2 linked regions of the Macaca mulatta genome follow. The protein of the gene in region 2 purifies or fractionates together with the protein of the main gene of each other region. This does not show direct contact. Links are inferred from orthologs where the notes say so. Each region holds a gene or a part of one and is shown on either strand. Other genes may lie near its edges.

The links.
Region 1: the proteins of WDCP (region 2) and RUVBL2 purify together in Homo sapiens (affinity purification with mass spectrometry; 6 studies listed by BioGRID and IntAct, counting the BioPlex papers as one, with this or other methods). This does not show direct contact. The link is inferred for Macaca mulatta from reciprocal best matches to the Homo sapiens genes WDCP and RUVBL2.

The regions. Positions count from the first base shown.
Region 1 is NC_133424.1:61,464,262-61,468,076, forward strand, and holds part of RUVBL2 (ruvB-like 2), read left to right. Parts: intron 1-234; coding exon 235-364; intron 365-518; coding exon 519-585; coding exon of another isoform or gene 586-603; intron 604-2,178; coding exon 2,179-2,285; intron 2,286-2,372; coding exon 2,373-2,466; intron 2,467-2,887; coding exon 2,888-3,011; intron 3,012-3,389; coding exon 3,390-3,484; intron 3,485-3,582; coding exon 3,583-3,701; intron 3,702-3,815. UniProt on the Homo sapiens protein: Possesses single-stranded DNA-stimulated ATPase and ATP-dependent DNA helicase (5' to 3') activity; hexamerization is thought to be critical for ATP hydrolysis and adjacent subunits in the ring-like structure contribute to the ATPase activity.
Region 2 is NC_133418.1:100,994,540-100,998,937, reverse strand, and holds the start of WDCP (WD repeat and coiled-coil-containing protein), read right to left. Parts: upstream 3,101-4,398; 5' UTR 3,023-3,100; intron 1,662-3,022; exon of another isoform or gene 1,558-1,661; intron 1-1,557.

The sequences.
Region 1 (3,815 bases), on a different chromosome or scaffold from region 2:
CTGCCAGAGCAACCTGCCCTCCCTGGCTTCTCGTTCACTGTCTGCCTCGTGGCTAAACCCCTCTCTCCAGTTCCCCCTCCCCAGGGCTCTGCTCAGGTCAGAGCCCAGTCCTTACATGTAGGATGGCACTGAACCCTCTTTCCTGGGGTGGGAGAAGAGCTAGTTTGCCACAGAGCAGGTGTCGGGGACCTAGGGCCAGAGCGGCTTCACCTACCCGGACTGCCTCCTCCCCAGGCATGGCGCAGGCCCTGGGTCCTGACACACCATTCACAGCCATCGCCGGCAGTGAAATCTTCTCCCTGGAGATGAGCAAGACTGAGGCGCTAACGCAGGCCTTCCGGCGGTCCATCGGCGTTCGCATCAAGTAAGCAGGCGACCCGAGGCGGGTGCCAGTCCCCAGAGCCTGGGAGCAACTCCACGCCCCGGGCGGCTTGTCCTTTGTTCCGGAGCTCGGGGAAAGTTGTGATTCCCGAGGGCGCGGGTGTCAGGCTGTCTCCTCAGATCTGCTCTCTGGCTAGGGAGGAGACGGAGATCATCGAAGGGGAGGTGGTGGAGATCCAGATTGATCGACCGGCAACAGGAACGGTGAGTCTGTGTGAGTCCGTACCCTGCTGAGGCCACCTCCAGCGCCAGGGTTGGAGACAGTAGGTGTCAGGTGTGCACGGAGGTCAGAATCCCATGGAATGTTCTAGCTGCAGACTAGAGCCCAAAGTGCTGGGATTACAGGCGTGAGCCACCGTACCTGGCCTTTTTCTTTTCTTTTTTTTTTTCAATTTCTGTTTTCTCCTTTTTGCATAGCTGTGTTTTCTGATTTTGTGATCAACAAAAACAGCTTTTATTTGGGTATAAAATAGGAATGTCAAAGTGTGACCTTTGGCAATTTTGCAGGACTTTGGGCCTATGTTGTTTATAATAGACTTTATTATTTATTTATTTTGAGACAGCATCTCGTTGCCCAGGCTGGAGTGCAGTGGCGTGATCTCGGCTCACTGCAAGCTCTGCCTCCTGGGTTCATGCCACTCTCCCGCCTCAGCCTCCCGAGTAGCTGGACGGACTACAGGTGCCCGCCACCATGCCTGGCTAATTTTTTGGTTTTTTTAGTAGAGACGGGGTTTCACCATGTTAGCCAGGCTGGTCTTAATCTCCTGACCTCGTGATCCACCCGCCTCGGCCTTCCAAAGTGCTGGGATTACAGGTGTGAGCCACTGCACCCGGCCAATAGACTTTATTTTTTAGGCATGTTTTTTGTTTACTATTTTGATTAAGAGTTTTATTGAGTTTTGGCCGGGTGTCGTGGCTCACACCTATAATCCCAGCACTTTGGGAGGCTGAGGTGCGCGGATCACTTGAGGTCAGGAGTTCAAAACCAGCCTGGCCAACATGGTGAAACCCCTTCTCTACTAAAAATACAAAATGGCCAGGCGCGGTGGCTCACGCCTGTAATCCTAGCACTTTGGAGGCTGAGGCAAGCGGATCACCTGAGGTCAGTAGTTCAAGACCAGCCTGACCAACATAGTGAAACCTTGTCTCTACTAAAAATACAAAAAATTAGCTGGGCATGGTGGTGGGCGCCTGTAATCCCAGCTACTCAGGAGGCTAAGGCAGGAGAATTGCTTGAATCCAGGAGGCAGAGGTTGCAGTGAGCCGAGATCGCGCCATCACACTCCAACCTGGGCAACAAGAGTGAAACTCTGTCTCAAAAAACATTAAAAATAATAAAAATACAAAACAATTAGCTGGACATGGTGGCACACATCTGTAATCCCAGCTACTTGGGAGGCTGAGGCAGGAGAACTGCTTGAACCTGGGAGGTGGAGGTTGGAGTGAGCCGAGATTGCACCACTGCACTACAGCCTGGGTGACAGCAAGACACCATCTCAAAAAAAAAAAAAAAAAAAAAAAGCTTTATTGAGTTTTATTTGACATACAAAAAGCTGCACACATTCCAAGTGTCCAGTATGGTCGATTGGGACATACATGTTCACCCGCGGAGCCATCACCACGTCAGACTGGTGAGCACACCATATCTGTTCCCTGAAGAGCTTCCTTGTGTCGTGCCCATTTTGAAGCTGTATAAGCAGAGGCCAGAGTACAGCCAGAAGCTTATCAACACTGGGGGCACTGGGGCAACATCAGGGCCCTCTCTGATCCCCTTCCCTGGCTTGTCCCCACTCTCAGGGCTCCAAGGTGGGCAAACTGACCCTCAAGACCACAGAGATGGAGACCATCTACGACCTGGGCACCAAGATGATTGAGTCCCTGACCAAGGACAAGGTCCAGGCTGGGTGAGCAGTCGGGCCATGCCAGGCAGCCAGGGGAATGGGCGAGCTTGGGCCCCTTCCTTTCCTTACCCCACCCCCCACCCCCTGTAGGGACGTGATCACCATCGACAAGGCGACGGGCAAGATCTCGAAGCTGGGCCGCTCCTTCACACGCGCCCGTGACTACGACGCTATGGGCTCCCAGGTGCGGCCGGGACTCCTGCGATCCCCTCGCCCCCAGCACTGCGGTGTCTTCATCTCCTCCGTCACCCCCGTGACCCATGGGGCCCGGATCTTCCTGTCACCCTGACTTTTTGTCCTGGTACTCCTGGGTCTTCCCTGTAACCCTAGGACAGCTGGGTCCCTCAGCCTGGCACTGTAGCTTCACATCACCACGTGTGGCCTGTGGCTTCTGAGGTCCTCCAGGAGCCCCCATGACCCTTAGCTCTCTGGAACACCCCTAGTCCTGACTACCTCCTGGCCCTGGGGTTTCCGGATGACTCCATTTAGCCTCCCAGCTCCATTTCCTGGAGCTCCAATCTCCCCCAGACAGAGGCCTTTAGGGTCCCCCTTCATGGCCTTCCCTGCCCTGTCTCCTCCCTTCTTCTCCCACCCCTGCCCCATAGACCAAGTTTGTGCAGTGCCCGGATGGGGAGCTCCAGAAACGCAAGGAGGTGGTGCACACCGTGTCCCTGCACGAGATCGATGTCATCAACTCCCGCACCCAGGGCTTCCTGGCGCTCTTCTCAGGTGAGGCCCCTCCTGCCCTGCCCTGCCCCAGGCCTGGCAGCCTCCTTCGGGCTCCCTCTGTTCCTGAGCTCCGAGTGTGGCCCACTTGCTCCACACCCTTTCCTGTAACTCTGGCCCATGGCTGCCTCTGTTCTCCACCTGCAAGTCTGCTTCGTCCCCCCACCGCTGGTGCTGTGATGGGGGTGTCGCCCTGCCCTCTCCCCATCCTGTGTTCTCTGCCTCTGTTCATCCTTTCTGGGGATGTTTCAGTCTCCTCCTCCCTCCTTGCTTTGCTCCCCTTCCTCCACCCCTGCATCATCCTCCTCTGTCTTAGTCACACTCTGGCCCTGGAACCCACCTCCTCTCTGACTTCCCTGATGCAACCTGTGCCTCACATAGGTGACACAGGGGAGATCAAGTCAGAAGTCCGCGAGCAGATCAATGCCAAGGTGGCAGAGTGGCGCGAGGAGGGCAAGGCGGAGATCATCCCTGGAGTGAGGACCTGGGACATGGCCGGGGCAGGTGGCGGGGTGGGAGTGGGCTGGGGAAGCAGGGACGTGGGTGGTGACTCTCACACACACCCCAATCCCAGGTGCTGTTCATTGATGAGGTCCACATGCTGGACATCGAGAGCTTTTCCTTCCTCAACCGGGCCCTGGAGAGTGACATGGCGCCCGTCCTGATCATGGCCACCAACCGTGGCATCACGCGGTGAGCCAGCTGCAGGGGCCTCTGGGGAAAACGGGATGCTCCGGGCAGTGGATGTGGTCAGAGGGTCCACAGGGAGCCTGTGTTGACACCTGATCAGGGAGGGACCCGTGACTG
Region 2 (4,398 bases):
TAGCACAAGACAAGGATTTGGGAATAAGAGAAAAACAAACATGGGAATAAGTTTACTGAGGTTATTTTTTTGGGGGGTAGGGGCATGGAGTCTTGCTCCGTCACCCAGGCTGTAGTGCAGTGGTATGATCTAGGCTCACTGCAACTTCTACTTCCTGGGTTCAAGTGACTCTTGTGCCTCAGCCTCCCAAGGAACTGGGATAGGCGCCCAACACCACGCCCAGCTAATTTTTATATTTTTAGTAGAGGCCAGGCTGAAACTCCTGACCTCAAGTGATCCTCCTGCCTTGGCTTCCCAAAGTGCTAGGATTACAGGCGTGAGCCACTGTAGAGGCCAGTTTACTGAGGTTTTTAGAAGAATGAATTTTAATATTGTCATCTTCAGTAACAAGAAGAAATGTGGCACATTTTTCTCAAAAATGCAATAATTACAAAAATCTGCTCCATTCCTTTCTACTCCTGTGTTAGCCCAGGTTCTGACTTCTCCCTTTTTATTAGGGTAAAACAAGGAGAGGTTCCCTTGATACCAGTCTCTACTTTCCAAATGAGCCTGCATACTATGTGTTGTTGGGTAGAATTATCTTTAAAAAAAAAAAAAAAAAAAAAAAGCACAGCTGTGATCATTTTGCTCTTCTGCATAAACACCCTTGATGAATCCCCACATTTACAGTACATATAAAAAAGCCTCGAAATGTCTTAACAAGGCATTTAAAGTCTTATATTATCAGATATTGATATATCTTTCTAAGTTTATTCTCTGATCATAAAGGGCATACTGGGGAATTTGGAATCTTGGGGGAACCAGCATATATTCGAGTGACAATATGCAGAATGGACCTGAGAAGGAAGAAAGTTGACAAGTAATTTGAATGCCACAAAGTGAAAGTGAAGCAAGTTTGCAACTATTTCAGTAGAGAAAGAAGGCCATTATTCAGGAGATGCTTCTAAGGCAGATGGAACAGACAGTGATATCAGATAGAATATAAGTAGTGAGGAAGAAAACAGAATTAAGGATAACACCCAGATTTTTAGCTTGAGAAACTGCTGAACCATTAACCAGAGCATGTTGCAAAGGCAAGGAAGGCAGGGCAGGCTGGGTGCGATGCCTCATGCCTGTAATCTCAGCACTTTGGGAGGCTGAGGCAGGCAGATCACCTGAGGTCAGGAGTTTGAGACCAGCCTTGCCAACATGGTGAAACCCTGTCTCTACTAAAAATACAGTATTAGCTGGGGGTGGTGGTACGTGCCTGTAGTTCCAGCTACTTGGGAGGCTGCAGCAGGAGAATCGCTTGAACCTAGGAGGCAGAGGTTGCAGTGAGCCAAGATCGCACCACTGCACTCCAGCCTGGGTGACAGAGCAAGACTCCATCTCAAAAAAAAAAAAGAAAAAAAGAAAGAAAGAAAGAGAAAGGAAGGGCAGGGCAGGACAGGCACAGTGGCTAACACTTGTAATTCCAGCACTTTGGTAAGAGTATCACTTGATGCCAGGATTTCAAGACCAGCCTAGGCAACACAGGGAGACTCCAATTCTACAGAAAAATTTTTTAAAATGAGGTGGGTGCTCACTTTGGCAGCACATATACTAAAACTGAAATGATACAGAGAGTAGCATGGCCCCTGCACAGGGATGACTTGCAAATTTGTGAAGTGTTCCATAAAAAAGAAAAAGAAAAAAAGAATAAAAATAAAAATTAGCTGGGTGCAGCGTCACACACCTGCAGTCCTAGTTATTCTGGAGGCTGAGAGGATTTGAGCTCAGGAGTTCAAGGCAGTAAGCTATGATCACACCACTGCACTCCAGCCTGGGTGACAGAGTGAAACCCTGCTGGGGGGGGGAGTGGGCAGGGGCAGTAGGGGAGGAACGTGTGTAGTATGTGACCAATTGAAATTAACATGTGCTTCATGTAAGATGTCTACATGGTACCAATGTACCTTAGGCAGTCAGAGGTAAGGATATGGAAATCACTGACTCAGGGTTAACAATTAAAAGTCAAGGTGGTGGAGAACCTCACTGTTAAAGATCAGAGGGCCAGGAGGACCAAGGTTTAAATGACCTTCACGCATTCCCCAACGCTACTGATTTTGCCTGAAACTAACTGTGTACCTATTGTTTCACAATCTCCAGAGTGTAAGTTTTCTGGAGAACATGAAATCAAGAACCCTGGGTGTTTTAGGAGGGAAAAGACCGCTGTATTAGTTCAGGTCTCCGGAGAGGTGGTCAGAAAACCATGAGCCGGTGCTCAGTATATAACCATTTAATTGTGTTTTTCATCTTCTTTAAAGACAACTCATGATGAGAATCAAGGGATTCAGGTGAACTGGCATTTCCAGCAGGTTTAAACAAAAGTATATCCCTCCCCCCACTTGTTTTCCAAGTTTATTGTATTTCCACTATAAAATGATTTCAAGTCCTTTACACTTATTTGAAAACAAAAATCATACACAGGAAAAAATTAAGAAGAGTTAACGAAAAAACATTCATCCAAAAAAAATTACTACATCCCTCTAGACTCTTCTATGCATAGTTTGGCTGTCAAACTTTTTCAGTCATACTGTGCAACTTTGTATCACGGTTTTTTCACTTAACATTATATATTAGCATTTCCCCATGTTATTTAAAAGTTTTATAAATTAGTTTTAGAGGCCACTTCACATACACTCAGTGAAGTGACATAATGTACTGAACTGCTCCTAGCTGTACCCAACTTTATCCCGCTATAAATAACGCTGGGACCGAGGTCTTAAGGCTTAAAGCACTTCCTGACTTTGGATGACTTCCTTGGGACATATTCCCAGGAGTGTTATTCACTAGTCACAGTCATATTCCCTCGTTTCATCCACCCCCAGCTCGGTCCTCATCCCGCGACCCCGCACACGCGGCCCGCCCCATTCTTCTCATCCTCTCTGCACGCCTGAATCTCCTCCCTCCGGCCCCCCATCCCCCAAGAGCCGGTCCACTTCCCTCCCGACCCCCTACAGCCTCCCCACACCCGCCAGGCCCGGCAGCAGTGGAGACAAAATACCTTAGCTCTCACTGCCTCACAAAAACACCAGTGTCCCTGTGGCCGCCCAACCTCACGCCGCCGCAGATAAGCAGCTCTGGTCAGTCACCGGAAGCACCGGCCCTCAGTCCTCTGATAGGTGGGCGGTGATATCTGTCCTCTGATAGGTGAGTGGTCCTCTGATGGGATAGGCAATCTCCTAGATGGCCCCGTCTATTGGTTTTTGAATGTGCACATTAGGAGAGGGTTCATTCCACTGGCCAATAAGCTCTGGCTGTACCGCATGGATCGCTGGGAGTTGTAGTCCCCATGAAACCACCCACCGCAAGCCCGCCACATTTTCCCTCCGTTAAGCACTTGAGCTCTTTCCCCACTTCTCCTCGGTTCTCTTGTCTAAGGAGTCCAGGAGCCCTAGGATCAACACGGCTTCTTAACCTTTAAAATCTGATAAAATCTGTCCAGGAAAATGTTCTTATCTGTACACAAAATATTGTGCATTCATCTGAAGTCGCTTCATGGGCCTGTCCCAGCTACAAATCCCTGTTCTACGCCCACCCTAAGTGTGCCTGCTCTGGCCACAGCCTGTGGAGTTAGTGCATCCCTTAGGCTTCTTTAGACCAGCCACACGCTTGGAAGACTGGGCCACATCTCGGAGCAGCGCATGAGGAATTCCAGGTCCTGACCTTCACAGTACAGTTGACCATCATCTTTCTTGAACAACACAGCCAGTCCACCTTCAGGGATGCAGACAACCTCATCTGGGATCTAAGCATCCGGGAGAGTGGGGATGGGGAAATGGAGGAAGAACACCCTTGGGGTTCATTCTGGGCCCGTTTGCCAGGCTTTTCTCCCCATGCCTATCTTCCAGTGCCACTTAGCAGAATCATACCTTCACATCAGTTTTTATGTTTTTCTTTTTCTTTTCTTTTCTTTTTTTAAAAATAAAGATGGCGTGCCTGTAATCCCAGCACTTTGGGAGGCGAGGCGGGCGGATAACCTGAGATCCGCAGTTCAAGACCAGCCTGGCCAACATGGTGAAACCCGGTCTCTACTAAAAATTTAAAAATTAGCCGGACGCTGGTAGCTCACGCCTGTAATCCCAGCTACTTGGGAGGCTGAGGCACGAGAATCGCTTGAACTCGGGAGGCGGAGGTTGCAGTGAGCCGAGATTGTGCCACTGCATTCCAGCCTGGCGACAGAGTGAAGATTCTGTCTCAAAAAAAAAGAGAGAGAGAGAGAGAGAGGGACGGGATCTTGCTATGTTACCCAGGCTAGTCTTGAACTCCTGGGCTCAAGCAATCCTCCTGCCTCGGTCTCCCACAGTGTTGAGATTACAGGTGTGAGCCATTGTTCCAAAAATTGATATGCCCGGCCTCACATCAATTTTTGGAACAATG